4 linked regions of the Danio rerio genome follow. The protein of the gene in region 1 binds, or shares a complex with, the protein of each later gene. Links are inferred from orthologs where the notes say so. Each region holds a gene or a part of one and is shown in the gene's direction. Other genes may lie near its edges. The genes, in order: caska, dlg1b, lin7b and lin7c.

Region 1 (7,794 bases):
GCCGAGACTCGAACTAGCGGCCTTCTTGCTGTGAAGCGACAGTGTTAACTACTGAGTCACTGTGTCGCCCCTGTTTCTCAATCAATGTGCCTAAATGAATGATGGTAGCATAACCTGATCAAATTTACCCTTTTGGATGTGGACTAAACAAAAACATGCAATCACTTGGTCATTGTGTGTGTTCATGTCTGTGTGTGAATTAGTAGTTTCATCTTTGAAAATCACTACAACTGAGTCAGCTGCCTTTATGCCAACATCAATGAGGCTATGATTCAACTGTTTTTTTAAGGACTCAGACTATAAATTTACAATGAGAAGTGACTGAATGAATTCTAGATTGAATGAATGGACTGAATGTGCACAATCCAATTAACTCAAGTGTATCCCACCAATCATCAGCTACAGAAATCAATGCAGTAATTCAAAGGCACTAATGTAAAAAGTGCCGACAAAACCCAAAGTAATGCATTTGAGAGGATTGGAAATTTTTTTTTTGCAGCAGCTTCCTCAGGGTGGTATGGTATATCCATTTATTTTGCAGTATAAAAAATGTAAGTAATAATATAAAAAATAAAACATGCAGTTTACAGTTGAAGTCAGATTTATTAACCCCCTGAATTATTAGCCCCCTGTTTATTTTTTCCCCCAATTTCTGTTTAACGGAGAGAAGATGTCTAAACATTTCTGAACATAATAGTTTTTATGACTCATCTCTAATAACTAATTTATTTGATCTTTGCCATGATGACAATAAATAATATTTGACTAGATATTTTTCTTTCTCATATTTTTCTACTTCTATACAACTTAAAATGGCATTTAAAGGCTTAACTAGGTTAGTTAGGTTAACTAGGCAGGTTGGGGTAATTAGGCAAGTTATTGTATAACGATGGTTTGTTCTGCAAAAATACAGCTTAAACAGGCTAATAATTTTGACCTTAAATTGTTTTTCAAAAATTAAAAGCTTTTATTCTAGCTAAAATAAAACATCATTGCTCTGTTAAACATCATTTAGGAAATATTTAAAAAAAAGAAAAAGAATTCAAAAGGGGGCTAATAATTCGGATTTTAACTATATATAAACCATAGAGCAGTGGTCACCAAACTTGTTCCTGAAGGGCCTGTGTCCTGCAGATTTTACCTCCAACCCTAATCAAACACACCTGAACAAGCTAATCAAGCTCTTACTTGGTATACTTAAAACATCCAGGCAGGTGTGTTGAGGAAAGTTGGAACTAAACCCTGCAGGTACACCGGCCCTCCAGGACCAGGATTGGTGACTCCTGCCATAGAGGTTTAGCTGTTTACCATAATTGTTGAGTCCATTTTAAGAAAAAAGGCCAGTGTGTAGACTCTGGACATGAAATAGACAAAAAATATCTTAATTATTTTGATTTATTTTGTTTAATAGTCTAGCAAGTTATAATCAGGATGAATTTCATTCAAATTTACATAATGTGATCAGTTAAAATGCCAATTTGACACTAAGAAAATATAATTTGCTGTTGCTTCCATTAAGAAAAATGAATTAGTGGACTATCTAGAGTTAAAGACTAATAGCACAATCAAGTCATTTTGTTTAATCTTAGATGGATTTCTTGTAATATGAATAATGCATGAATAAAGTATTTTGTTAAAAGCAGCAGCATGCATCTTTCAGCAAGACTGCGTTTGTCAAGAGTGAACCAGTTTCAATTAATGAAAGAGCAAGAGTTTTCTGACTGCAGCTGATCTTAACAACAAAGAAAAGATAAGGCCAAGGAATCCAAATACAAGATTATATTGAGATTGTGTAGTTGCAGTACGATTTTTAATTTAGATCCATCGATTACTGCATGCTTGAATGTGTGGTAAGATGTAAAAACATGCAGGGGCTTTAAACATTTATTCGACATTCAACGATGACCCGCAATACTAAAACTCTTATTTACTGTGTTTAATATGGATCTATGGAGAGACATATATATCTATTAAATCACTTTATTTTTCATCTCTGTGGAAATATTTTAACATCTATGATTCATTTCTACAAAATACTATGCACTCCCCAGAATAAAGGTTAAAAAAAGCTGTCTATGGACGGTTCCTTTTCAAAAGGTACATGTTTCTACCGAAAGGATCTAAACAGTGTTTGTAAATTAGTGCATACATTTTGAAAAGTAACTCAGTTGCAGTTTTTGAACATTTATATGAGAGTTTAAACTAGGTTTAGTGTATAGTAAAATCATTTTGGTTACCATGTTGTTTAAAATGTCTATTTAATTTGCAGGTATGGTTCATTTTCATGTGGCAACATACACTCACTGGCCACTTTATTAGGTACACCTGTTTAACTGCTTGTTAATGCAAATTTCTAATCAGCCAATCACATGGCAGCAACTCAATGTATTTAGGCGTGTAGACATGGTCAAGACGATCTGCTGCAGTTTAAACCGAGCATCAGAATTGGGAAGAAAGGCGATTTATGTGACTTTGAACGTGACATATTTGTTGGTGCGAGACGGGCTGGTCTGAGGAGAATGACCGAATTCGATACAACCGAAGTATGCAGAAAACTACCTCTGAAAGCACAACACATATAACGTTGAGGCGGATGGGTTACAGCAGCAGAAAACCACACTGAGTACCACTCCTATCAACTAAGAACAGGAAACTGAGGCTACAATTCACACAGGCTCACTGAAATTGGACAATAGAAGATTGGAAAAGCGTTGCCTGGTCTGATGAGTCTCGATTTCTGCTGCAACGGTTCAGGCTGGTGGTTGTGGTGTAATGGTGTGGGGGATATTTTCTTGGCACACTTTGTGCCCATTAGTACCAATTGAGCATTGTGTCAACGCCACAGCCTACCCGATTATTGTTGCTGACCATGTCCATCCCTTCATGACCACAGTGTACCCATCTTCTGATGGCTATTACTAGCAGGATAGCACGGCATGTCATAAAGCGTAAATCACTCAAACTGGTTTTTTGAACATGACAATGAGTTCACTGTTCTCAAGTGATTTCCACAGTCACCAGAACTCAATCCAATAGAGCACCTTGGGGATGTGGTGGAACGGGAGATTCACATCATAGATGTGCAACTAACAAATCTGCAGCAACTACGTGATGATATCATGTCAATATTGAGCTAAATCTCTGAAGAATATTTCCAGTACCTTGTTGAGTCGATGCCACAATGGATTAAGGCAATTCTGAAGGCAAAAGCGGCTCCAACATGGTACTAGTAAGGTATACCTAATAAAGTGGCCTGTTAGTGTATATTTATTATAGCTACTCTTAAAGATATCTCGTATAGACTCATATTAAATACATCATATTATGGCGTATTATTGTGGAAATGAATGTTCACCTATGATGTTGTCTGCTTTATTATACAGTATGTGTATGTATTGCCAATAATTATGTGCAATAATGTTTTATTCCCCAAACCACTTTTCAAATATTTTTTTATTATTATTACATAAACACATGTCTACAAAAACATATAGTCAAGCTAGTAAGTCAACTAAAGATTTTCAAGCGCAGTTCAATACGCTTTTTATCTAGGTAAACTGTCGCTTCAGCCAACAAACTCTGAGACGCCTGGTCGTCATTTTGGCTCAACCGCACGTGCCAGTCTATGCGGGAATTCCGGAATACGAAAGTCCTGTCGGAGCCATTATGGCGTAAGGCAATCCAGTTTCATAAGCGCGAGTGGGAGGAGTTTGGGTTTTCTGGAAGCTGGGAGCAGCAGCGCTGGAGTTATGAGGGGGAACTAGAGCAACGGCGGCGAGCAGGGACAGTCAGCGTGAGCGCGCACAGGGAAAAGCCGAAGCCGCGCGTGGCTAGAATGAGTGGAATCAACTGAACTGCGCACTTTAACAACAGCTTGCGTTTGAACACACAAACAAACCGCGTGCACGTCTTCTCCCCCGGCTCGAGTTAGTTAGTTTAGCGTCTAAACGACTTAACCCACTTGGTTCCGTGACTTCGGCAGCGATTATCGTGGAGTTGTTTTTAACGTTTGAATTACCTCAGCCTCGAGTGGCGGGATTAAGGGGGCCGAGAGAGAGGGAGGAGAAGGTGGGGCAGGGTGAGTCAAACGGACCGAGCGCTCACTACTGTCCGCTCGCTTCCACCAAACCACCAAAGGATAATTTTTCCCACCCAAAACCGACAGGAATCAACCATTCGCCGTTCATCGGAATTTGGAGAGCGATACAATCGGCTGTCAGCGTTTCTTTCGCGGCGCTCATTCCAGGTACTCTGAAGTGTCTGCTCGGTAATCCTCTGATATTTACCATTTGGACGGATTTTGGAGGGGGAGTGTAAATTCCCCGCTCTTGTTGGACCATGGCCGACGACGACGTGCTCTTTGAAGATGTTTACGAGCTGTGTGAGGTCATTGGCAAGTAAGTCTCACTTTGATAATGACACACGGGTGAATGTCCATCTGTGACTCGAGCTGCGCCTTTTGCGTTGTGTGTGTGTGTTTGTCTGCCAGACGAGTGTTGTCATTGCGTGAAATTCAGACTGTTGTGCTGCAGTGCTGTGCTGTTGAACACATGATAGTTAGATTCAGTCGTAACTCTTTACAAACTGCATGTTGTCTGAGGCTGGAGCAATGAGGAATGGGAGTGGCGAGTGTGAGAGATGAGAGAAGTGTACTTTGAGCGTTCGTGCAGGTAACGTTAGATGCCATCCACTACTATTGTTTTTGCATAGCTTCCTCTACTGCTGTCAGCGTTGATGTTTCTGCAAATGATTGTGTTTTGGTGGATAAACCAATTTCGTGTCACCTGGCTTTCATGTGTTATCTAGAAATGTCAGGTTTGTGCTTGCAGTCTTGTTCGTTTGTAGTTGTTACTGGTATTGACCACTATACCTGTACTTTACGTGTGCTGAGAGTTCTAGCCATTATAATATTGAGGTAAAGTGGGTTTCATATTCACATATCTGTTTATTTTAATGGTCATTGTATTGTTTACCACGCTACTTTGAATATTTGCTCTGAAATCGCATTTAAGTATCACCACACAACAACATCAGCACTGTTTAATTGACTGAACAATGTTGTACTTCAGTCATTGGCTGCTAATATGATTTCACTATTCAGAATTTGCTAATATTTTTCTGAAATTATATTATTAAGGACAAAGTCTGAATATGTAAATATTTGGAATATAAAGCAAACTTTACCTTAGTATTATAAATAGTTGTTTGATGTGAGTATAACATAATAAATGCCTTAAATGCAATGCATTATTAGTATTATGTATGTGTATGTGTGTTTATAATATTCAATGTAATTGCTATTTAATAATTTGTGTATTTTATTTACTTTTTTAATGTTGTATTTATGTTGTAAAACGCATTACAAAAATATACAAAAATGACAACATAAACATTTAACAATAAGCAAATACACTGAAGAATATTTTTAACAAAATAAATAAATGAATAATAAAAAAAAAAACACTAGTTCAATCTTACATACAGAAAATACAGGTCTACAATTTGCTGACCACAACTAGTATCCAGTACCAAGCTGGGAGTTGGGGGTGGGGACTCAATCAGAAGGGGCAGGGTTAAGCTGAAAAGTTTGGACATGTTTGCGAAGGGGTTCTCACAGTTTACTGAAAATTGTGCTAGATTGATGAAGAGAGTACCTATTTTTTTCATTTATTTTCTTTTCGGCTTAGTACCTTCATTATTCTGGGGTCGCCACAGAGAAATGAACTTATCCAGCATGTGTTTCACACAGCGGATGCCCATGCCCTTTTAGCTGCAACCCAACACTGGGAAACACCTATACACACTTTCACACATACAGGGAGAACATGCAAACTCCACACAGGTATGCCAACTGATCGAGCCGGGGGTCAAACCAGCAATCTTCTTGCTGTGTGGCTGTTGTGCTACCTACTGCACCACCATAGCGCCATTTTCTCATTTTCTTTACTTTTTACATATTTTTATAGATGCAGACTTAAATATGAGAATTTGTTTTTCATTATTGCTGTGAAATGTGATATTTGACAGTTAAAACTTTGCTTTTATTTGGATTTTTTTCACATTCACACTGTAGCCTTGAAAGCCAGAGTGTAATATAATATAAAATAGTGTAATGTAATTAGGGCAGCATGATATTGAACAAATCTGTCATTTCGATATTTTGTTTTGCTGCGATATGAATACAGTTTCACGAGATGGCTTGAATAGCTCTATTTGTGTAAACAAAATAAAATAAATGAATTATTGATTGGTTGATTTTGGATGCCTGTGAATCATGTATTAAATTGCAAGAATAATTACAATAGAGTAAAGAAAAAATTTAAATAAACAGTTATTTATGGTTTTCCGGAGTGTCAAACAGTATTCAGATACAGACATTTAATAATATAATGTCAAATATTACTGTATAGTCTTTATTATATTTATAAATCAGTAAAATTTATCTTCAGTAAAGTTACAAATGTTAATGATAGTCACAATCCATTATGCTTATTAATTGAAATGACTCCTCAAATCTCATGCATTTTCAATGGTTGATCAACTATAATATGCAAATTAACATTGCAGATCCTGCGATGTGACTATTGGGGACACACATTGCGCTATTGATGCTGAAATGATATATTGTGCAGCTCTGAATGTAATATCTTAAAACTTTGTGTTTTTGTACATTTTATAATAAAATATAAATATTAGACTACATTGAAGCGTCACATTCTTGCAACAGTAGTAAAGTTGTAGACTGGCTTAAAGTAATAAGCGTTGAACCTTTTAGGGAATTAAGTTATAAAGATCTAAAACAATAAAGATTAAAGATGTTTCTGATTTAATGGTTTGTCGAGCCACACTACGAGTTTGGTGACTATTTGCTCTGATGAAGGGCACAGCCTTGCATGTATCAGCAGGTCTAGAGCTTTTCCTATTAAACTGAAACGAAGTACCATTTTTAGATTGTAGTCCTACTGAATGGAACATTCACATATTGTTTTTACTGTTATTGTTATGAGACAATCTGGTGTATTTGTATTATGTAAGCAGGTTATCTCCAGCTGTTATTGATGTGCAATTGCTTGCTTGAGTTTCAGTGTGGTGCATGTAAATTTGAAATGCCATGTAATTAGAGCTCTCAACATGGTACTCTGGGATTTCAGAGTTTGTAATTAAAAGCAGTTCTGTGCGTGTAACTGTCTCATAATAACAAAACAACATATAGTTAGGATGCATACGATGGCGGATTTTCTTAAACAGCTATGTTTAGGCATGTTTAAATGTATGGGTGAAAATTTAGCCAACAAAAATAAAGCAATGGAAAAACTGGAAAACCCTGTTGATGCCGTTTCCATTAGATCTTTGTCGTACAATGATTTATGTAGTAACCCTATGATTTGTACAACACAGGATGGATTTGTGAAATCCTGGAATAAAAACAGAATTAGCAGTTTAATGCAGAATGTTATGGAATTTAGGATATATTGAATGCATAAATCAGAAATGTTATTGCAATGTGGACTGTAGTGTCTGTAAATATTCATTCATTTTCTTTTCGGCTTAGTCCCTTTATTAACCTGGGGTCGCCACAGCGAACCACCAGTTTATCCAGCATATGTTTTACACAGCGGATGGCCTTCCAGCTGCAACAAATCACTGGGAAACACCCACTCTCATTCATACTCATACACTACAGACAATTTAGCTTACCCAATTCACCTGTACCGCATGTCTTTGGACTGTGGAGGAAACCGGAGCACCTGGAGGAAACCTATGCGAACATGGGGAGCGCATGCAAACTCTACA
Region 2 (7,593 bases), on another chromosome or scaffold:
AATTGCGTCGTAATGCTAACTAAACATTTTAAGACTGAGAAACGATGTGTGTGTGTGTGTGTGTGTGTGTGTGTGTGTGTGTGTGCTGAGTTTAAAGTCTTTGAAATCAGTCCATAACGATTTTCTGACTGTGTGTGTAATCAGTCAGAATTAGGAACCCGGGTGTGCGAGGTGCATGCTGGGAGTTGTAGTTCGTTAAAGTAACGTATGTAGTTTTCCAGCAACCCACAGCCGCTAGATCACTGGTGATTGTCACAGTCCGCATAACAACATTGTTAGAGTAGTAAAATAAACATCTCCCAGTTTACAGTGCATGCATTATATGCAGCCTACAAACAACAGGCTATTATTTTACTTTGTTAACCTCTTGTTAATCTTCATACGTTTACTATCTTCACTAAGAACAGTTTGACTATATTTTTGTTTTCCTATTTTTTTTTCCAGAAATAATCTGTAAGTGTTAACGTAAAGTTATGTGTTACTCTCTAAAAAATACATAAAATTTCCTTTAAAAAGCAGAAAAATATTGTAATACCAAATTACAAGCAATAACTGTACATTTAATGTTAGAATTTTTATAGAACATATCTTTAAAACACCAGGTATTTCACTGTATAATGAAAAAACTGAAAAATTCCGTAAAAAATACAGACAATTACCAGTAAAATAACGTTTATTTTTTACAGTGCATGTTATACCATTTAATGGAACTTTAATTTTTTTGGCTTCAGTCATTTTTGGGGTACTCTTTTGAATCTGAAATCATTAAACAACTAATATCAAAATATATCGTTATCGTTTAATATGGAAAATAATTACAGAGATTGCATTTTGGCCATATCGCCCAGCTCTATTTGGAGTATGCCAATTTGATGGGTGAAGAACTATACACCTTTAAGACTTTAAGGCCCAGTTTCACAAGCAGGGCTTAGAGTAAGCCAGGACCATGGCTATTTAAGCCACATTTATTAAAATGGCCTTAGAAAAATATATTACTGGAGTGCGCCTGGAGACAAAAAAATGACACTGACAGATTTTAAGACATCTCTCTGAAAGTTATTTTGAGTTGAGACAGCTCAAACATGCAATTTAATCTCGACTAGCCTTAAACCTTGTTTGTGAAACTGACTCTATTCCCTTCTCAGATTCATGACTCTGTGACGTTCATTGAGAAATTGTTGCCACAAAAATAGTATTCTAAAGTAAGACCAACTATATTTATATGTCCGTGCAGTCGTGTCATGAGCGTTTTCGTGATGCTTCATACGAGCATTCGGATGATCCTTGAATGGACTTAGCCAGTGTTAGTCGTGTTGCACGCTGAGTGACGCATACATTACGAGAACGGCAGGATCTGAGTCACACTTTGGACAGTGAGGCACACTGACAACCCAAGTATTGTACGTAAAATAGGGGTAATTGACGTTAGTAGTACTACTGGCTCAGAGTCTTTGACTTTTGCACGTTATGTAGGTCAGCATGAGAGAAGTAACTAAAATGTCCAAAATGTTTAATATTAAATGGCCTTGAGGATTGCCTCACTGGCAGAATATAGCAGATGCATGTGCACGCTGTGCGAGAACAGGATCTTATTAGCGGTGAGGATTAGATTAGCGAGTATGGCAGCATTTTGCCACATCCCTCTTAGCTTGACTGCTGATTTAAAAATTTCCTAAAGCAAAGTCACGGCAGAGATCTTTGTCATTGCCGACCCTCCCCCAACATCACTGCCCCTTAAAAGCCAGTGACCCGAGCGGTTTGTCCTATGTGACCATTTCATGGTCGGCCTAATCAAATCAGAAGTAATGGAGAAATTAAGCTTAAGCATCTTTCTGCCAGCTCACTCTCTCCACCGTAGGGATCCCATCAAGAAATGGAGCCATTCTCAGAAGGTCACATCCACTGTCCAGTCAGCTGCCAATGACATTCCGTCATCTTATTGGCCAGGCTCGACGCTCCCCTCCCCCTTTTCTCTCCACTGTGCAAACGTGCTGTAAGTCACTCCAACATCGCTCCTCCTCCTGCATGCGAGGCTGTGCTCCCTGAGGATGTTCATTTGCTGCTCCTCTCCATCTCACTGTTACTGCCTTGGCTTTTTATTTTTTTGCCTTCCCCTCAATGTATTGGGTGACGTAGAGCACCCACGCCGAGGATGAGACAGAGAGAGAGACTCAACCCAACTCGACGTCCATGTGACAAACCCCACGCGCTGCAACAGCTTTATCCCTCCCTCCCTCCCCTCACAGCTCTCCTCCTCTTCCCGCGTTCTCCTCACAACTCGCTGCGTTGTTCAAACTGTGGCATTCTTCACCTTCCCTTTTGGGGGAACGCAGCAGTTGTGTGGTGTCTTCTTGGCGATGACCAAAAGGTCCCGAAAGCTGTTCCTTCACGGATGCATGCACTCGGCATGAGGCCTCCGTGCAAACATCTCCACCGTGACTCACAGCTGTGAAAGGTGGAGGGACGGATCTCGCAAGCCAGTGAAGCAGAAGACGAAAGGCTCTGAGGAAGACCGGAGCAGCGGTGAAGGAGAAGGGGGCGTGTGGACAAACTCGCTGGATGAAGGAAGCAGACTGGCTGTCCCTTCCCTGGCGTGATGGAGTGAGACGAGGAATGAGGGTGGATGGTGAGAGCGGGCAGCAGCAGCAGCAGTGGAGGGGCAGGAGGAGGAGGAGGTGGTGGTGGAGGAGCAGGAGGTGGCCGGAGAGGCAGGAGCAAGTATCGCTCGCGCCGGCGAGTCTCCGGCTCTTCGCTGGCTGATCGGCTCAGCTGCCACAGCGGCGAGAAAATGTCTCCCAGCATCAAGAAGTTGGACTGCTTCTCGCCCATGCTGTGCCACTGCAAAGTGGCCTGCACCAACAGCACCATCTCACTCATGTTCGGATGCAAGGTGGGTGGTGGAGCTGCTTCTCAGGTTCGCTTAATTCACAGGACAGGACAGTCTGTGAGAGTCTGTCCAGCTTTACATCAAGGTGTAGCCAAGAGTGGCAGCCAAAATGCTTGGTACTGCTGCCAGTTGGAACTCCCGAGGCACATGCAATCAACTTGATGAGATAAGAGTTCTCTTCGAGATCTAGCAGACTTCAGAAGTAGACTTATTCTTGCAGAGAGATCTGGCATAACACGTTCATGGACTGAATTTCTTTTAAGGCACACATAATTGAAAAGTTGATGAGATGAGAGGAGTTGTCTTCTAGATGTAAGAGAGTTGGCGTACAGCAGATTTATTGCCTTTTAGTCTCTTCTTAAACAATTTATGTTAGGTTAGGACAGCTAGGTTCTTTCTTTTAGGCTTTTAATTGTTTGTGTTTGTCTAAATGTATAGGATGATCAAGTGTTGAAATATAAGTAGGCCAGATTTGGCTCCCATGAACTAATAGCTCGTCTTTCTTTAGACAATTTAAGGGGTGTAGGGAACGGTGTGCTAATTAGGTTCTTTCATTTAGGTTTTTTTCTCGTTTGTGTTTGACTAAATGTATAGGACAGGGCTATTCAATTAGTTTGTCACGGGGGCCGGTTCATGAAAAGCATCCCAAATGAAGGGCCGGAGAGATATGACTTGCTTTATGAGTGATAACACAACTGCATATAAGAGCCCATATGCTGTTTATTTTCTCCTTAAGACACCCACGTTGGCTTTTTCTACATTAAAATATGAATATGTTGTATTTTGAAACTACATAATATCAGTGCACTGTACAATAGACTTTTCTTGTTTACAAACATGTTCAAATGTTGTATATCAGAGCACAGCAAAAGCAGTGCATTGCTCAAGTAGGCTTTTTCTACTTTAAGACACATTCATGTTTTATTTTTTTAAACTGCATCACAATTATGGTTGTACGATTATATAGTCTAAAGAATAATCATGGGTTCACGGTTATCACGTCTAATGTAAATTCAAGCTTTATATGAGGTAAGTAGCTATTTAGAATAACTGTTGTTGCAACACTATCTCACGGCAATTCGTAACTTTTTCATTTAGTGGCTAATTCGTATGAATTCATCCTTTCTAATTCGTACAATTTAGTACGATTTGCTTATCCCCCAATGACGGTTGGGGTTAGGGGTGGGGTTAGGTGCCACGCCTCCTTTTTAAGATCGTACCATTTCATACGACTGAACTCGTACGAATTCGTACGAATTAGCCACTAAACTGGGAAAACGTAAAATACTTACGTTTTCTCATGAGATCAGGCTCGTTGTTGCCTTCTGCGTTCATACATACAGCACAATCATTTTAATAATAACTCGTCTAACATATATGTTGTTAACATTGCACTGAAAGGCACGCACAACTCTCACCGTAAGATGTTTTCTACTGTGTGCACCCAGAAAGACGCAAGTGTGTTGCTGCGCTTGTGCGCACATATTGTCATATATTATTACATTAAAAATAACAAACTTGCAAGCTGAAAAGACTTGTTATGGGACTGGCCACTGCTATAGTTAATCCGGTGAGTGCGTATTAGCCTCGGTGTACATACATGGAACTTTAAACTAGTGCACAGTTGACAACTTGACATAACTTGGTTTAGTTGCAGCAGTTTCGTTTCGTTCCATGCAACAGAAATGCGGCGTTGACAAGCCTTTACGATTAATTAACTGTGACGAATTCAAGTGCAGTTAATAGTGAAATCGGCTAATCATTGCATCCTGCTTGCCCCACTTGCTTGGCGCACGTCACTTCATAACTATAGCGTCATTTTTCGAATTAACTACATTTATTTTTCATGTCTTATTTGCACTATTTGGAGGGCCAGAATAAATTGCCTCGGTGGCCAGGTTCGGCCCACGGGCTGCCAATTGAATAGCCCTGGTATAGGATGATCAAGTGTAGAAGTATAAGTAGGATCAGGGCATGACCCAGGCCAGACTTGGTTCCCATAAACTAATAGCTTGTCTTTCTTTAGACAATTTAAGGGGTATAGGGGAAGGTGTGTTAATCAAGTTCTTTCTTTTAGGCTTTTTCTTGTTTGTGTTTGACTAAATGGATAGGGTGGTCAAGTGTAGAAAGGTAAGTAGGATCAGGGCATGGCCCAGGCCAGAATTGGTTCCCATGAACCAACAGCTTGTCTTTCTCTAGACAATTTAAGGGCTATTGGGGAACATATCGTCAGATAGATAAGGTTCTATCTGCATTCTGAATGATTTTGAGATATTGAGCATCAAAGTTTTTGCATTCCATAGCAAACAGTATGTGTGTAACATTTTTTTTGTAAATAAAAAGTCTTAAAATGTAAACAACTTATAAAAAAACATCCCATAATGTAAATAAGTCATTGTCATTTAATAAGAATATGTTAATAACACAATTTTGACAAAAATGTCAGATGGAACTATATAATTCTAAGGTGACGATATGCTAATTAAGTTCTTTCTTTTGGGCGTTTACTTACTGTGTGTGTCTGTGTGTGTCTGTGTGTGTCTGTGTGTGTCTGTGTGTGTCTGTGTGTGTCTGTGTGTGTCTGTGTGTGTCTGTGTGTGTCTCTGTGTGTGTCTGTGTCTATGTCTGTGTGTGTGTGTGTGTGTGTGTGTGTGTGCGTGTGCGTGTGCGTGTGCGTGCGTCTAGATGTTTAGGTTGATCAAGTGTAGAAAGGTAAGTAGGATCAGGGCATGACCCAGGTCAGAACCAACATGAACCAACCATGAACCAACAGCTCTCAAATGTACCCAATGCACTACCATAACTCATAATAATATGAGCTCATAAAAGCTAATTACGGTCACACTTTACCATCATGTATTTACAAACATGAACTCATGATAACAATACATGTACAGCATTTTTGAAAGTTTTTTATAATTTATTTTTTAAGTTACTATAATTTTACATTTTTTAAGTTACTATAGTTAATCATTTGTCGCATTCATTGACTTTAACATTAACACAGATAAATAAATACTGTAATGTTCATTGTTTGTTCATGTTGTACAACTTCATTCCGAAGTCTTACCCTAATTGTTAAACAATTATTATTTTTAATAGTTCTAGATCAGATTCACTATATCAAAGCATGTCAAAACTTTCCAAAGATATTCTGTGAAAACTTCTTAACAACTGTAGAAGTGGCTGCTGGTTTTAATGCTGTTCTTTCCTTTTGGAGCTCTTTCTCTTTTAATCAGTCATTGGATTATCTCCGCTCTGACTGTAGTTAACACTCTGCTCCACAGTAATCACTCTCTCTGATGGAGAATGCACACATTTTGTTGTATCAGCTCAGGGTAAAGCCTGCTTGGGCTGTGAGAATGTGTCACAGTAATGCGTTGGCTCTGGCATTAACGGAGCTCAAGAACCTCCTCAGTAAACACTTACAGAAGAAGTGTATTGCTTGGTATTGTGCGAATTTAACAGTAGGTTGAATTGTTATTTTTGAATGGCAGAAGGTAAACTAATTTAATTCTGTCTCATGTTTTTATACTGTGTGTGTGTTTTTATATATCGTTTTTTTCTTAATCAAGCTTATGGTGGCATAATTAAAATGATTATGTGGTCACTATAATAAATCATTACTATACGCAGTGTTTAACGATGCCGCTTTAGACTCTGGCATGATTACTGCCTGTATGGTGCCGTATGGCGTATTATGCCTATTCAAACCGTGGTGTTAATTTCTCAAATCCTTGATGTACAGCCCATAGGATTACATGTCATCTGCTCTGCTTGGGATTGAGAAACAATTGGAATTCACTGTGTATTATTTAAAAGGGAGAGTTCTCTAAAACACAGCATATTTGGTCACCTTTTACAATATGGTTTCATTAGTTAATGCATTTTATATCATACAACAATTCTGTCTGGTTCTCGAATCTGATTGGTTGATAGCCGTGATACATTTAAGTAATATCTGCACCCGTACAGCCTCTTTACTCTTTGTGTATTACTCCGCCCACAAACAGCCAGCAGCAAGCAGACACTACAGTTTGACAAATATTACTGTTGTTACACAACAAAATACAGTTTTGAAGCTTTTTTTAGTCGAGAATGTAGTTGTTTAGATTTCAACTACGCAGTTTATATGCAAGAATAGTGCCTATTTTAAAATATTTACAATTTCTTAGAGATCTCGTCGATGGCCAAAGTGTAGACCCAAGACGGTTGACGCTTTCTATTTACAAGATGGCGACAGAACCGCATAGTAAGCCCTTACGCTTAGAAGCTGATAACAGTCTGATTTCTAACTATAGCATATCAAGTCATTATTAAAGTGGTAAGCATGCCTGACAACACTTTTGTTTTTCATGGGAGTATCCCGTATTTCAGACCATTCTCCCGCAAACATCCCGTTTTTTAGAATTTTTTCTTTTAGGGGTTTTCACCTTTATTGATAGGACAGTGGAGATATAGAGACAGGAAAGCGTTGGGAGCAGAGATAGGGGAAGGATCAGCAAAGGACCTCGAGACGGGAATCGAACTCTGGTCGCTGCGAGAACCTCGGTGCTATGTGTCGACACACTAACCACCAGGCTATTGGCGCAGACAAACATCCCGTTTTTATTTCTTCCTAAAAAAACTACCGTAATTTTACCCACCCCCTCCTTTGTATAGTCTGTAAACACCCCCGGGTTGCAAACTTTGGTACAGTACACGAT
Region 3 (7,007 bases), on another chromosome or scaffold:
TGATCTATATATTTCTATAATATTGACTTCTCCTGCAGATGTCTGCAGAGTGATTGAATTGTTGGACAGACTGCAAAGAAGCGGTCAGCTTCCTCCTCCCAAACTCCAGGCTCTCCAGAGAGTCCTTCAGAGCAAATTCTGTGCTGCCATCAGAGAGGTAAAATCTTTCTTCTGTCCTTCAAACGTAAGGATGCTTGACTCTAGTAATAACTCATCCTTGTGCTTCTAATTAGAGCGTCGCTCAATTGTGAAAAATGTAATAATTCCTTCCTTTTTCTTGTATTGATTTCACAGAACACTAATTGGATATATGTAACTAGGTATACAGTTGAGGTTTGAAATGCGTATCACATAAGACTGCACTGTCCTTTTCCTCCTCCACATGAGTATTTATTTCTTCTCTCAGGCAGAACTGCATTCCACTGTTCCTCCTCCTGAATGACTCACTTTCCTGCCTCTTTGAGATGGCATCTCACTTCAGCTTTATTGTCTCACTCCTTGACTTGTGATAATGGGTTCCAGTAGCAAGAGCCCAGTCTGTTCACTTCTCATTCACAAGAGTCAAACACATTCTTTTACAATTACGTAGTCTTGTCACACTAAATCAGTTTTCACATATCCATCAGGTGTCCTTCTCTCCACGTGGCTGACATTATTGGCGTGTTGGCGTCTGCATGGGAAAAGTAATGATAACATTTTAAAACATGACCAATATTATCTGTTTTAATCACAGAAGTTAAATGAACTGAGATCCTTGTGGAGAGTATATTGAAATTGATATCAGATCAGCTAAAAAGAAATTGTCAGTGAAATATTTACAATCCTCTTGAGTCTATATTGAATGATCAGTTTTTGTTGAACTTTAGTAATTGATTTTGTTATTTTCCATATTGTAAAATTAAGCACATCTCAGTCTCTGTCAATCAGAACTGATATCTATTTAACTGTGCATCTAGAAAGTATTCACAGCGCTTCACTTTTCCCACATTTTTTATGTTATAGCCTTATTCCAAAATGGATTAAATTTGTTTTTTCCTCAACATTCTACACACAATACCCTTTAATGGCAATGCGAAAAAAGCTTCTTCTTTTTTTAATTGTTGAAAATGTGAAAAAAAAAAACTGAAAATCACATGTACATCAGTATTCACAGCCTCTGCTCAATATTTTGTTGATGCACCTTTGGCAGCAATTACAGCTTTAAGTCTTTTTGAATATGATGCCACAAGCTTGGCACACCTGTCTTTGGGAACTTTTACCCATTCCTCTTTGCAGTAACTCTCAAGCTCTATCAGAATTTATGGTAAGCGACGTTGTGCAGCCATTTTCAGATCTCTCTAGAGATGTTCAATAGGATTTAGGTCTGGGCTCTGGCTGGGCCACTCAAGGACATTCACAGAGTTGTTAAGAAGACACTCTATTGATATTTTGGCGTTGTGCTTTGGGTCATTGTCTTGCTGGAAGATGAACTGTCGCCCCAGCCTGAGGTCAAGAGCACTCTGTAGCAGGTTTTCATTCAGGATGTCTCTGTACATTGCTGCATTCATCTTTCCCTCTATCCTGACTAGTCTTCCAGTTCCTCCTGCTGAAAAACGTCCCCACAGCATGATTCTGCCACCACCATGCTTCACCGTAGGGATGGTTTTAGCCTGGTGATGAGCAATGCCTGGTTTTCTCCTAACATAACGCCTGGCATTCACTCCAAAGAGTTAAATGTTTGTCTTATCACACCAGAGAATTATGTTTCTTAGAAAATCTGAGAGTCCTTCAGATGCCTTTTGGCAAATTCCAGACGGGATGTGGCTTCAATGTGGCCACTCTACTATACAGGTCTGATTGGTGGATTGCTGCACAGATGGTTGTCCTTCTGTAAGTTTTACCTCTCTCCACAAAAGAACGCTGGAGCTCAGACAGAGTGACCTTCTGGTTATTGTTCACCTCCCTATGGCCCTTCTCCTCCGATAACTCGGCTTAGATGGCCAGCCAGCTCTAGGAAGAATCCTGGTGGTTTTAAACCTCTTCCGCTAACAGATGATGGAGGCCCCTGTGCACATTGGAATTTTCAGAGCACCAGAAATTTTTCTATAACTTTCCCCAGCCTTGCGCCTCGAGACAATCCTGTCTCGGAGGTCTACAGACAATTCCTTTGTCTTCATGCTTGGTTTGTGCTTTGACATGCACTGTCAACCTTGGGACCTTATGTAGACTTATATGTGTATGCCTTTTCAAATCATGTCCAATCAACTGAATATACCACAGGTGAACTCCAATAAAACTGTTGAAACATCTCAAGAATGATCAGTGGAAACAGAATGTACCTGAGCTCAATTTAGAGCTTCACTGCAAAGGCTGTATATACTAATGTACATGTGATTTTTCAAGTTTTATATTTTTAATAAATTTGCAACAACTTCAAAATGTTTTTTCACATCGTAATTTTGGGGTATTTGGTGTAGGATTTTGAGGAAATAAATTACTTTAATCTATTTTGGAATGAGGCTGTAACATGACAAGCTAAAGCGCTATGAATTCTTTCCGGATGCACTGCATGTTCACTTGTTTATGGTGATAAAAGCCACTGATCACATTGTCAAATTCACTAAATAAACCATCAGATAGTGATCAAGATCCCACTGTATAGCATGAAGGTCTTGTGTTATGTTAAGGTATTATTTTGCAATATTTGCTGATTTGTAAATTATTCCATCAAATAAAGTCAATAGCAAATGTCATAGCTGACAGTTCACCCCTAAATGAAAATTCTGTCATCCCTTAACTAATCCTCTGCTTGTTTCAAATCTGAGTTTCTCACTTCTGAACACAAAAGAAGAAATTAAAAACTGTTTATTGTAGGTATTTCATAGTTGGGAAAACATACTATAGAAGTATTATAAGTCAGTGTTTCGCATCCACGTTCCTAGAGGACCACCAGTTCTGCACATTTCCATGTCTTCTCAACCAAACACACCTGATTCAGATCATCAGCTCACTAGTAGAGACTGAAAGACCTGTAATGGGTGTGGCAGACAAAGGAGACATCCAAAACATGTAGTGTTGGTGGTGCTCCAGGAATGTGGTTGAGAAATAGATAACTTTAAATGTTTGGATCAAGCACAGGATGAGTAAATGAAAGAATTTCTATTTGAGTGAATTATCCCTTTAAATGTGTAAACTATTAAAGGGTTACGTCACCAAAAAATGAAAATTTTGTTATTAATTATTCGCACTCATGTCATTTCAAACTTTTTACACCTTTGTTCATCATCTGCACACAAGTTAAGATATTTTTTAAGAAATCTGAGAGCTCTCTCATCCTCCATAGAACGCAACGTTCCAGAAAAATAACAAAAAACTTTCTCAAAACAGACTATTTGCCTTCAGTGGTTCAATCATAATATTATCTGCTATAAATATACTTTTGTGCGCACATAAAAAAAAAATAACGACTTAATTTACCCGTTTCTTCTCAGTGTCAGTATATTGCGCATTCACAACATGTACCTTTTCACATAAAATATCTTTATTTTTATTGTGAAGAAGAATAAAGGCCTCAGGGCTTTGCAATGACATGAGGGTGAGTAATTAATAAGATAATTTTCATTTTTATGTCAACACTTTAATGTGTGCATTGTCCATTACGTGTGCACATTTAAATATGAACTGAGCCAGAATTGTAGGATATTTCTTTTATCTGAATAAACATAAATGAATTAACAGTGAGCAAAGACGTATTTAGTGTAAAAATGTTTGTTATATATGTATAGGAAATGCTTTAATCTCACTATAAACTCCATTTATGTTGTTCAATATCCAGGCCCATTCTTTTTTTTTTATAGGTCTACGAGCAACTTTACGATACGTTGGATATTATAGGTGGGCCTGAGGTTCGAGCTCAAGCCACTGCCAAGGTAACTTTTTACTTAAAACACAAACAAACAAAAAAAAAAACTGTTAAACTAGAAAGTTCATAGATGTCATAACTAATTTCTGGTCTCTTCTTTCAGGCAACAGTAGCAGCGTTCGCCGCCAGTGAAGGTCATGCACACCCGAGAGTTGTTGAACTCCCTAAAACAGATGAAGGGCTTGGGTTCAACATCATGGGGGGAAAAGAACAAAACTCTCCCATCTACATCTCTAGGGTCATTCCAGGGGGTGTTGCTGACCGACAGGGTGGCCTGAAGAGAGGAGATCAACTGCTTTCTGTTAATGGAGTGGTATGTTGGCATAGTACCATTTTGAGATGTATAATTTAGCCGTTAGATTTTTGTAAGAGACCATGGCCTTGATTTTTCAACTGTCATGAAGCTCCCTTGTTTTACCTCTGATTTGGAAAAGAGGTTTTCTAACTGTAATCAGGTGGGAGAGAAGTGTTGAAAGAGGAAAAACGATCATCTTGTGCTGCTTTATTTTATTTTATTTTTTTACTTTTTGTTTATTTATATGTTATAATCAGGGAGTCAGTCGGGTCTTAAAAAGGCTACAATTTCAGAAACAAAATTTTAGACCCTAAAAAATCGTAAATTCACTGAAATATTGTGTTGTAGGTCTTAAATAATTTTAAACAAATATTCATTTTCCTATGTCCAAGTAAATAAAGTTTTTTTATTGCAAAGAGACACAATTCACAACAGCTGTTAGACATTTTACAGCAAATCCTCCAAATTACATACCTTAATCAGGGACAGAAAACTAAACAACACATTCCTTTACATCAGTGTTTCTAAACCACGTTCCTGGAGGACCACCAGCTCTGCACATTTTTCATGTCTCCTTAACCAAACATATCTGATTCAGATTATCAGCTCATTATCAGAGACTGAAAGACCTGTAATGGGTTTGACAAAGGAGACATCCAAAATCTGCAGTGTTCATGGTTCTTTAGGAACATGGTTGAGAAACATTGCTTTACATGAACTTCCATTGATACAAAAACTATTTACAGTAGTGACCAGATCTTGAAGTCTTAAATTTAAATTGAAGAAACCTGTAGAAACCCTGATAATTTACAAGTTATTGTTTATCAGTAACTAATGATATAACTGTTAAAAATATAATCACGTAAACACACATACGCACATCGCTTTCAGCCCAGTATAAAACATTGTTTTTTAAAATTCAGTTTGTTCTGTAAATACAGATCAAAAGCTGTTTGTGTGTATATATATATATCTTTAGATTCGGTTTTTAAAAAGTGTAAACAGTGTAAATGCTAAGTGTACTAGGATTTAATGTTGTTTTTAAATTATTGATTGCATTTTATTTTACTTTAGCATGCTGCTAATCTCTAATCTGATTCAATGATTTATTCAAAGCTTAAAGTGCTTCCACCAAACCCGGAGATTTGCTGAATGAATAAAAAAAAATAGTAAAACTCAACTGTTAAACACTTGGTAACTTGTTAAATAAAAGTGGAGATTTCCTTTAACTAATACTTTTAGCTAAATTAACTACTAGTTTGTGCTTATTAATAATTAGGTTAATATTAAAATGAGTATTGGGTAGGTTTGGGCTTGTAGAAGTACAAACAAACAGTCAATATCTTAGTAACAGGCCAGTAGTAGGTTAAAAGTTATTAGTAGGAATTGGTACTTAAAACAAGTGCAAAACAAAAGTTGTTTTTTATTCTTGTTGAGCTACACCAAACAAAGAGAGAATGAAAGTGAGTTTGTAGACTTGCAAATGGTCTTTGTTTGTCGATTGTGTGTAGAGTGTTGAAGGTGAACACCACGAGAAAGCTGTAGAGCTGTTGAAGGCTGCGCAGGGCTCAGTGAAGCTGGTGGTGCGTTACACCCCCAAAGTCCTAGAAGAGATGGAGGCCAGGTTTGAGAAGATGAGAAGTGCCAGAAGACGCCAGCAACACACCAGCTACTCGTGAGTGGGACTTTCCCCTGACTCGTTTTTCTGATCAGTTGCTGAAGACATTTGTTCTTTTTTTGTTGAGGCAAAATGTGCATTTTTTTATAGGCCCAATTCCAATTCTACCACTTAGCCCTTCCTCTTATCCCTCCGTTCGCATGAAGAGATAGGGGTGTCCCAGTTCTATTTAGCTTGAAGGTGAAGGGCTAAGTGGAAGGGCTAGACGGTCCTTGAAACTGAGATTTTTTAGGACCACACTCGAAGCCACACTGAAAACCCTAATGTTGTCTTTACTTAAACAATTAAGTAAAGTTGACTAAACATAACTTAAAATTTTGCATTTTGGTGGTATCACTTAAAAATATAAGTTAATTTAACTTATGTAGTTATGTCCTTTCGAGAGAAAAAAATAGTGTGAAACTTCCCGGATGTGTTCTTGATATCGAGGATACTGATGCAGACTTGAGCACCGAACTCGCTCTGGAAGTCCCAGAAGTCATTGCGACTGGAGATGGGAAGCGCAGCATTTTATTTAGATTTATTATTAAAGTTCAGAGATATCACTTATTTACCTTAGGGGTTTCCCTAAATGAAACGGTGAAAGTAAACATTAACATGAACATATTAATAAAGGAATAAACACATTAAGGGTGTTTGTTTGCTGAAATTCGTATTAAAATTAGTTTTATTTATATTGTGCAGGGTATATTTATAATGTTTTTATGCAAAGTATATATTTTGAAGAGGGGAAAAACAATAAATCGTTGTATGAGTTCTGTAATGCTTAAATAATTTCCATTTAAAACGTGCGAAGGTCACGTGACCATCAGGAAGAACGCAGCATTTCATTTCTCAAAGGACGCGTTCTCTGCCATCGCGGTCTCCTGAGTTCGTTCTTCCGAGGACACCTGGCAAGACCGGTCTCCACAAGAATGCAAGTCCGTTCTCTGTGTTCTTGGAATTGAGAAACAGCCTGTTTGTATTGTGAAGTCCTAGTTGGTAAACCTTGCCTTTAAGATCAGCCTAAGGGCTTCCTTATTCAGTTTGCCAAACTTAGCACTAAGTTTGGTGAACTAAACAATTCAAGTATAATCTACTTAAGTACAAAGTTTGGTGAACTGAACAATTTAAGTACAATCTACAAAACCGGC
Region 4 (7,762 bases), on another chromosome or scaffold:
ACTGAAAAACAAAACCAATGTCAATAAAGTTTGAGCTCTCCCTTTACAGGTCGAAATTTGGCACATGCTGTGCAGAGAACATCTTCTCTCGCAGGCAAACATACTTTGGATCCTACATTCATATGATTTCAAAAGGGATAATGATAGATATAAGTATATACACTACAGTATATAAGTATTTATTTCCCATCCTCTCAACATATATAGTTGAAGTCAGAATTATTAGCCTCCCCCCTGTTTCTTTGTTCCCCAATTTCTGTTTAATAGAGAGAAGATTTTTTTAACACATTTCTGAACATATTAGTTTTAATAACTAATACCTGATTTATTTTATCTTTGCCATGATGACAGTAAATAATATTTGACTTGATATTTGTCTAGACATTTCTTTACAGCTTAAAGTGACATTTAAAGGCTTAACCAGGTTAACTAGGCAGGTTAGGGTAATTAGGCAAGTTATTTTATAACAATGGTTTGTTCTGTAGACTATCAACTATATAGCTTAAAGGGGATAATAATTTTGTCCTTAAATTATTATTATTTTTTTTTATTAAAAACTGCTTTTATTCTAGTCAAATCAAAATAAATAAGACTTTCTCCTGAAGAGAAAATATTATCAGGCATACTGTGAAAATTTCCATGCCCTGTTAAACATCATTTGGTAAATATAAAAAGAATAATAATAAATTAAAGGGGGGCTAATAGTTCTGACTTCAACTGTATGTCTATATCCGTATTACCAAGCTAATGTGAAATCTCAAAGCCAGAAATGCAGACGAACACATCCATCCAATGTAAATTCTGATGTGTTCTGTGGAACAACAAACACTCTAGAAAGTTCTCAGGTAAGACTTGATATGTAAATTCTATGGAAACCAGTCTCTCATGTAATGTTGTCCAGAGGGAGAAGGCAATCATCACTAGCACTAAGAGATTAGGATTTTCTTTTGTCTGTAGGATAGATCAATGAAGTCAACACTCCAATGCACTCTGCGTGATATCTGATACACCTGAACACAGACACAGACCTATACACAAACCTGCTTTCCTTCAAAGGTTGTTATCAGACAACTGAACAGAAATCTGTCTGACACTGATACACTGCCACAGATAAGGGAGGAGTTTCATCTGTTCATGGTAAGTATCTCTGCATCATGAGACACATGGGCAGGACCATAAAGGATGCTCAGGCGGAAAGTCAAAACTGATTATAAGTGCATCCTTTATCAGAAACACAACTCAAATTAAATTTGTGTACCCAAGGATATTGATATGAAAGCATAATAATAGCTATCAGCCTTGCTTAATGAGTAAGTGTTTGCTTAACCTTATAGGAACAAATATGAAGCTGCAAAATATAAATCAATGGTGACTGGACTAGATAAAGAAATGGACAATAAAACATTCTTCTGGTGCATTTTATCTGAGAAACAACTTGCATTATTTTTGTGAGGATCAGATTTTCCCCAGTTCAAAGTAGTCCTTGGTAAGACCCAGCAGGGCCCTGTCCCATTTGCTACAGAAGTAGGCCACTCTATTCTCTGTTTCTTTTTCCACAATAACAGCAAGTAAACTCATAAAATTACTGTTTAAGCAGGGCAGTCCAAATAAAAAATGAGAATATGGAAAAAGTAAATACAAATTATATATATATATATATATATATATATATATATATATATATATATATATATATATATATATATATATATTTTTTTTTTTTTTTTTCCTCAATGTTTAATGGAGAGCCGATTTCTTCAGCACATTTCTAAACATAATAGTTTTAATAACTAATTTCTAATAACTGATTTATTTTGGTGAAAATAAAATAGTGTTTAAAATTTTTTAAACTGCTTTTATTCTAGCCTAAATAAAACAAATAAGACTTTCTCCAAAAGAAAAAAATATTATCAGACATGCTGTGAAAATTTCCTTTCCCTGTTAAACATAATTTGAAAAATATATATAAATAAAAATAAAATAAAAATCTTTCCCCATTTTTTGTTTAATGGAAAGAAGATTTTTTCAACACACTTCTAAACATAATAGTTTTAATAACTCATTTCTAATAACTGATTAATTTTATCTTTGCCATGATGACAGTAAATAATATTTTACTAGATATTTTTCAATACACTTCAATACAGCTTAAAGTGATATTTAAAGGCTTAACAAGGTTAATTTAACTAGGCAATTAGGCAAGTTATTGTATAATGATGGTTTGTTCTGTATATCAAAAAATATATAGCTTAAAGGGGCTAATAATTTTGACCTTAAATTTTATTATTTTTTTAAATAAAAGTTTCTTTTATTCTAGCCAAAATAAGACAAATAAGACTTTCTCCAGAAAAAGATATATTATCAGACATGCTGTAAAACTTTCTTTGCTCTGTTAAACATAATTTGGGAAATATAAAAAAAAAGAAAAAAATACAAAAGTACAACAATTATTTTTGCTTGATAAAAAAAAAAAACGTGCCGTTTGGTCATCAATATTTAATATTTCAAAGTCATATATATGTATTTGTATCCTCTATAAATGTTTTTTCTAAGAAAAATAGTTTTACAAAAATATGTAATTTGTTATCATTAATTACTTCAACAAAATAAACATTTTTAAAGCATTAATTAATCTTAACATTTTTTAGCATTAGCAACAAATAATTTTTATTTAAATAATATATAAGTAAACATATTTCATGTAACTAATATAACAGAACCAACAATGAAAACACAGTCATATATTTCTTGATAGTAATGTGATAACATTGTTAAAGTTTTTTAAATGTATCATCTGATGTCAAAATAACCCAAAAATAATACCCTAAAGTGTGCCTAAAGATTTCTAAAATAAACAGTTGTAGTCTGAATTGTAAAAAAAAAATTTAATAAATAAATAAATAAATAAATCATCATATATAAATGCATTCCTTACCTGGAATAAACTATTCATTCATATGGTTTAAAATGTATGGAAATATTTCTGCCCTTGGATTCTGATTGGCTAATACATTATCCAATTGAGCGTGGGTTATGTTGTTGACCATATATCACTGTATAGCTGCCATAACATTATTTTCTTAACTAGTCCAGTAACATATTACTGACAGTAAAACAGCCCTATTACACGTGTCTACTATCTGAATTGTAATAATTTATGCAGTCAAACTCGATGTCCTAAACAAAATACCAAGTCGAACAGTCCATATTTGCTTTAAATATATTGTTTAATGTTAAAATTATATATAATATATTCCAATTTCATTGAGAAAATCATAATAAAGTCAGTTTGTTATGGTATGCAAAGTGTCTGCGCGGAAGCAACGCAGGAATGACGCTCTTGACGCTCATCCGTAATCTCGGTGCATTAGCCACAACGCTTAAGCTCAGCAAGCTAACAGCAACAAACACAGCCGCCGAGTCGCAACTCTGGAGCTTTCACCAAACGCAAACTCAACAACCAGGGCTATAATGGCCTCTTTAGGAGAACCTGTACGTCTGGAAAGAGGTAAGCCGCGCACCGAGACACTTTCTGCCGTACGTGAAGCAGGATGTTGTGTAAATCACGCTTTTTGTTCTCCCGCTGTCACTTCGTGAGGATGGATTAGTGCTCGACAGAGAGCTAGCATCAATTCACCGTTCGAGATCATACACGTTTTTCTATAAACTAAACTACGTTCACAAAACGTATAAAATGTGCAATACGGACATTTATATGTCGTTAAAGCGGTGAGTTTACGTTCAACGAAAGGAAAACACGAGGGTAGCTGTCAAAAGCGTTAATCTTTTGTGAGCTCTGTTAGCATGGGCACTTCAGGTCAGAGATCAGTGCATCTGAGTATTTCTAGGGGTTAGTAAAGTCTTTCAGTGACGTCCTAATAGTCAGCAACTTATTTTGAGTTTAACTGAAGCTTTAATACACAGTAGAGTTAACTTAGGCTAGTAGATCAGCTAAAACTCTGATTTATGACCGTCTGTTTTTATCTTAATATTTACATGTATCTGTATAAATCAAGAAGAAACCGGTAAGTAGCATTATAATAGTAAATAATTTCATTCTTAAGTTATTTAGTTTTTATTTACAAACATTATTTCTTTTGGGTAGCGTTAAATTATATACTAGTAACGTTACATACAATATATGGCGCAATATTAATAACAACAACAACAACAATAATATTTGTCATAAAGAAAGGATTTGCTAAAATGTTATCTGCGGTCCGTGTTGTTGTTTTATTTATCAGGGAAAGCTGTTTAGCCACAGACAACATCTCCAGATGGCATGATGCAAATGATTATCCATGGTCTTGGTCTTACATATGTTATTCTACAGACATATCTCGTGCCATTGAGCTGCTGGACAAGCTCCAGAGAACAGGGGAAGTGCCACCCCAGAAGCTGCAAGCCCTTCAGAGGGTTTTGCAGAGCGAGTTCTGCAAGGCCGTAAGGGAGGTAAGTGTTCCAACATCACATTCATGCTTTCAAGTTAAATTTAAACGTCTTCTTACAATTTTGAGGGATGTAAACAATAACAACGGTCCTGACATATTTCCGTTTTTTAATTTATTAAAATTTATTTAAATTTCCAAAGATTCTAAGAGTCCAAGATGTTCCACATATTGATAAATAGTGTTACGATAGCTGTTATAACATCAAGTTATGAATAAATTGTCTCGTTACAGGTATAAAATAGTTTGATAACAAGCAGAAAATGTTCATTGGCCAATGACATTACCACATTGAAATGGTCTATAAAATTTCTAGGTTTGAAAACTGGGGATTGTTTTGCATTGGTTACCTTTTTAATGCTACGAATTAACCTTAACAAATCTGTTACAGAATACAGATTCTAATGCTTCAAACTTCATATTACATTAAGCACATTTTCGCTTTTAAGTACGATACTTAAGTAGAGATCTCTCCTTACCCCAGAGAATAAATTATGTCTGCTGCATATAATCCCTTAAACATGTCTCTTATAGCCTCTTATAGGTGTGAACATGTAATGGTCAGAAGCAGATACAGTATATACAAAATCATTGATAAAACATAAACAAATTGGTAAGAAAAATGACAAACAATGCAATTTGTATGCAAATGATGGAGTAGGAATTCAACATGTATAAGTAAAGAAAAAGTTAGAAGTGCATATTTGATGCATAAGAAGATAAAATCCCCACTATAAATCCATTACTTCTTTACTAAAAGGAAATAGGCATATACATTACTGTTTATTGCAGTAAGTATATTACAAGAAGTTATATTATTAAATATTCATGTTAAAATATATATTTATGTAATATTTCCAGACAGGTTTTAGTGAACTTTCAATATTGTCAAAAACACAGAACTTTTAGTTTTTGTTTGTAAAAAGGCCTAAATGCATGCAAGGTCATTCAAATCTTTTTACACATCTCCAACAAACACTTGCAATCGGTTCATGAGATCGGCCAGATCAGAGAGTACCGATTGAGTTATTAAATGCGTTTAATGGCCGATACCGATCTCTGGCTGATCAATCGGAGTATCCCTATAAATAATGTTTATAATGAATGCCTCTAACTATTCTTACATATTTATTTATGTAATGAGCATGTTATAATGTAATAAAAAATTTTGTTTTAAAATTTAGATTTAGGGTTATCGGCAGTCTATTTTACATCGTTCCTGAATTTAATTTGAAAATGGGTCTGATATTCCAGTGTAACTAACCAGACATCAGCATAAAATATATTTATAGCATCTAAATAGGTTATTACAGGTGAGTCTTTAGAAAGCACCATCTATTAGCTTAGAGTGGCTTATGCTTATAAAAGAAAAGTTGTGCATAAAGCCCTATGGATATTTGTCTGCGTTTTATGCAAATGACTAACTCTGGGCATGCAGCTGCTGTTTTTAAAGTACAACCAATTCATTAACATCATAAAAAGGATAACAAATTGATGCCCAAATAAAGTTTTGGTAAGAACTTCTCTTATTTGTATTCTGCTAAGGCGTTATTGGTGAATGAGATCCGCTGTGTGATGCTGAGGGGGAAAAAAAAGTAAGGTGTGATGAATGTGCCAAAGACTGACAGGTTAATAATACAAAAAATTGAGCAGGCGGATGTTGTTTCATCCTCACAAGCTCCTCTCTCTTTTTTTTTGCCCAAGTACTCAGCTCATTTATGCAAGCGGTCGTTATGACTGAAATTGCTCTCATCGCTAATGCTTATGACAAAGTGCTCATTAGTGTAGTACATGCGTAGTTATTGTTGTGCAGAAGGACTGGATACTAGATATTGATTCTGATGTCCACAAATAGCATCAATCCATTTGTCTGTTTCAGACTGGGCATAAAACTAGTGTTCTGCTGCCCATGTAGTGAATCTAAGACTGTTGGCACTTGACTGGTCTCCTCCCTGCTGCTTGGTCATCTGTCGTGCTCACTGAAGACTCTGAACTCTTTGCACAAGTGATGCTCGCTGCAGAGTTGCTGTTCTTTGCTTTGCTTGAGTGCCTGTAATAAAGCAGATTTCTGATGGAAAGATTAGGTTCGATAAAGCTTTTGTTAAAAGCTGAAATGTGGTCTCAGCACTCATCTTAAATGCATGTCCATTTATAAACTTTATATTCATCTTTCAACATAGGGCTGGGCGATTTGGCCTAAAATCTCGATTAATTGAACATTTTAACTCGATTACTATTAATGAACGATTACTTTATTTTATTTTTTTGCCCTTATAGTTCATGGACAAGGTTTGGACAGTAAATATACTCCCATATAACAAGTGAGAGATTTTTTGAATGAAGGGTGCATTACTTAATTTTAAAATAATTGAAGGAAACACACTCTATCTACTATATATGATCATTTATTAACATCAAAGTTGAATTACTGAAATTAAAACACACATTGCCTAAAACAGTCATGTTTTTTTGGATAAAAAGTAAAAAAGTGAAAATAAAAAACTTACACTTTTGGAGTTAAAATGAGTTATTTTAAATGTTTTTCATATTAAAGGTAGAAAATAAGCTGTATCGCTTCTAAATAAAATAATAAATGGGGGGTGGGGGGGGGGGTGGGGGGTTGGGTTTGGACGGCATGATGGATGATGTGATGGCAGCCACAGAACAACGGCGCTAGTGCACTCACCACACACCAGCTATAGGTGGAATGGAGAGACAGTGATACAACCTATTCGGTGGATGGGGATGATTGGGAGGCCATGATCATAAGGGCCGATTGAGGGACTAATGACCACAGAGAGTCAGGACCTCAGTTTAAGGTCTCATTCGAAAGACGGCACCCACTGACAGTGTAATGTCCCCTTTAATTTTACTGGGGCATTAGGACTCACACAGACTGCAAGTTGAACGCTCCCTGCTGGCCTCTCTTACACCAATTCTAACAGAAACCTAGTTTTCCCATGTGGTCTCCCATCCAGCTACTGGCTTGGCTCAGCGAGTAACCGGTCTTGGGCTGCAGGGTGATATGGCTGTGGCAATATCACCCGCAGTATGACCATGCTATGGCTTGTGACTGATAAATATTATATAATAGAGTTTAATTTGTATGAAAACAGGCAAAAATTAAATGTTTTTGTTTTAAAATGTGGTTTAAGGCATAACAACGTTATGTTCATTTTGAAAAATTCTGATGTAAATATAAAAATAATAATATTAACTTCTGCCGTTTTAGGAATTGGCTTTGTGATTGTAAAATGATGTAAAAGATGTAAGATCAAAATAAATAAAAACAAATAGCTATACTTCAGCTCTAC

The links.
Region 2: the proteins of caska (region 1) and dlg1b are in contact, whole or in part, in an NMR structure (PDB 1RSO), measured with the Rattus norvegicus proteins. The link is inferred for Danio rerio from reciprocal best matches to the Homo sapiens genes CASK and DLG1. Residues at the interface, in XP_038955489.1 of Rattus norvegicus: Gly339, Ala342, Ala343, Arg345, Ala346, Val347, Gln349, Val350, Ser353, Leu354, Glu356, Ile357, Leu360, Thr361, Asp367, Leu368, Phe370, Leu371, Ser373, Val374, Phe375, Asp377, His379, Leu380, Thr382, Leu383, Leu384, Asp385, Leu386, Tyr387; in NP_036920.2 of Rattus norvegicus: Arg4, Asp7, Thr8, Arg10, Ala11, Leu12, Leu14, Leu15, Tyr18, Lys21, Leu22, Glu26, Asp27, Leu30, Ser33, Ile34, Arg36, Val37, Ser39, Ile40, Phe41, Ser43, Leu45, Phe46, Leu49, Ile50, Gln53, Glu57, Val58, Leu60.
Region 3: the proteins of caska (region 1) and lin7b are in contact, whole or in part, in an NMR structure (PDB 1Y74), measured with the Mus musculus proteins. The link is inferred for Danio rerio from reciprocal best matches to the Homo sapiens genes CASK and LIN7B. Residues at the interface, in NP_001271432.1 of Mus musculus: Ala405, Arg408, Ala409, Glu411, Val412, Glu415, Ile416, Tyr419, Glu421, Asn422, Asp424, Ala425, Glu427, Leu428, Ile431, Leu432, Gln434, Phe437, Ala439, Leu440, Leu441, Thr443, His444, Val447, Ala448; in NP_035828.1 of Mus musculus: Leu10, Asp13, Val14, Arg16, Ala17, Leu20, Leu21, Arg23, Leu24, Ser27, Glu29, Leu30, Pro31, Pro32, Lys34, Leu35, Ala37, Leu38, Val41, Leu42, Ser44, Phe46, Cys47, Ile50, Arg51, Tyr54.
Region 4: caska (region 1) and lin7c share a complex: the UniProt entries of both Homo sapiens proteins name them as parts of the brain-specific heterotrimeric complex. The link is inferred for Danio rerio from reciprocal best matches to the Homo sapiens genes CASK and LIN7C.

What each region holds. Positions count from the first base shown.
Region 1 is NC_133184.1:35,295,383-35,303,176, reverse strand, and holds the start of caska (peripheral plasma membrane protein CASK), read left to right. Parts: upstream 1-3,792; 5' UTR 3,793-4,338; coding exon 4,339-4,397; intron 4,398-7,794. UniProt on the Homo sapiens protein: Multidomain scaffolding Mg(2+)-independent protein kinase that catalyzes the phosphotransfer from ATP to proteins such as NRXN1, and plays a role in synaptic transmembrane protein anchoring and ion channel trafficking.
Region 2 is NC_133177.1:5,301,079-5,308,671, reverse strand, and holds the start of dlg1b (discs large homolog 1-like protein), read left to right. Parts: upstream 1-2,788; coding exon 2,789-2,890; intron 2,891-7,593. UniProt on the Homo sapiens protein: Essential multidomain scaffolding protein required for normal development. Recruits channels, receptors and signaling molecules to discrete plasma membrane domains in polarized cells.
Region 3 is NC_133178.1:30,726,282-30,733,288, forward strand, and holds part of lin7b (protein lin-7 homolog B), read left to right. Parts: intron 1-38; coding exon 39-157; intron 158-3,836; coding exon 3,837-3,908; intron 3,909-4,004; coding exon 4,005-4,214; intron 4,215-5,707; coding exon 5,708-5,871; exon of another isoform or gene 5,872-6,119; intron 6,120-7,007. UniProt on the Homo sapiens protein: Plays a role in establishing and maintaining the asymmetric distribution of channels and receptors at the plasma membrane of polarized cells.
Region 4 is NC_133182.1:31,964,576-31,972,337, reverse strand, and holds the start of lin7c (protein lin-7 homolog C), read left to right. Parts: upstream 1-3,353; 5' UTR 3,354-3,471; coding exon 3,472-3,508; intron 3,509-4,333; coding exon 4,334-4,452; intron 4,453-7,762. UniProt on the Homo sapiens protein: Plays a role in establishing and maintaining the asymmetric distribution of channels and receptors at the plasma membrane of polarized cells.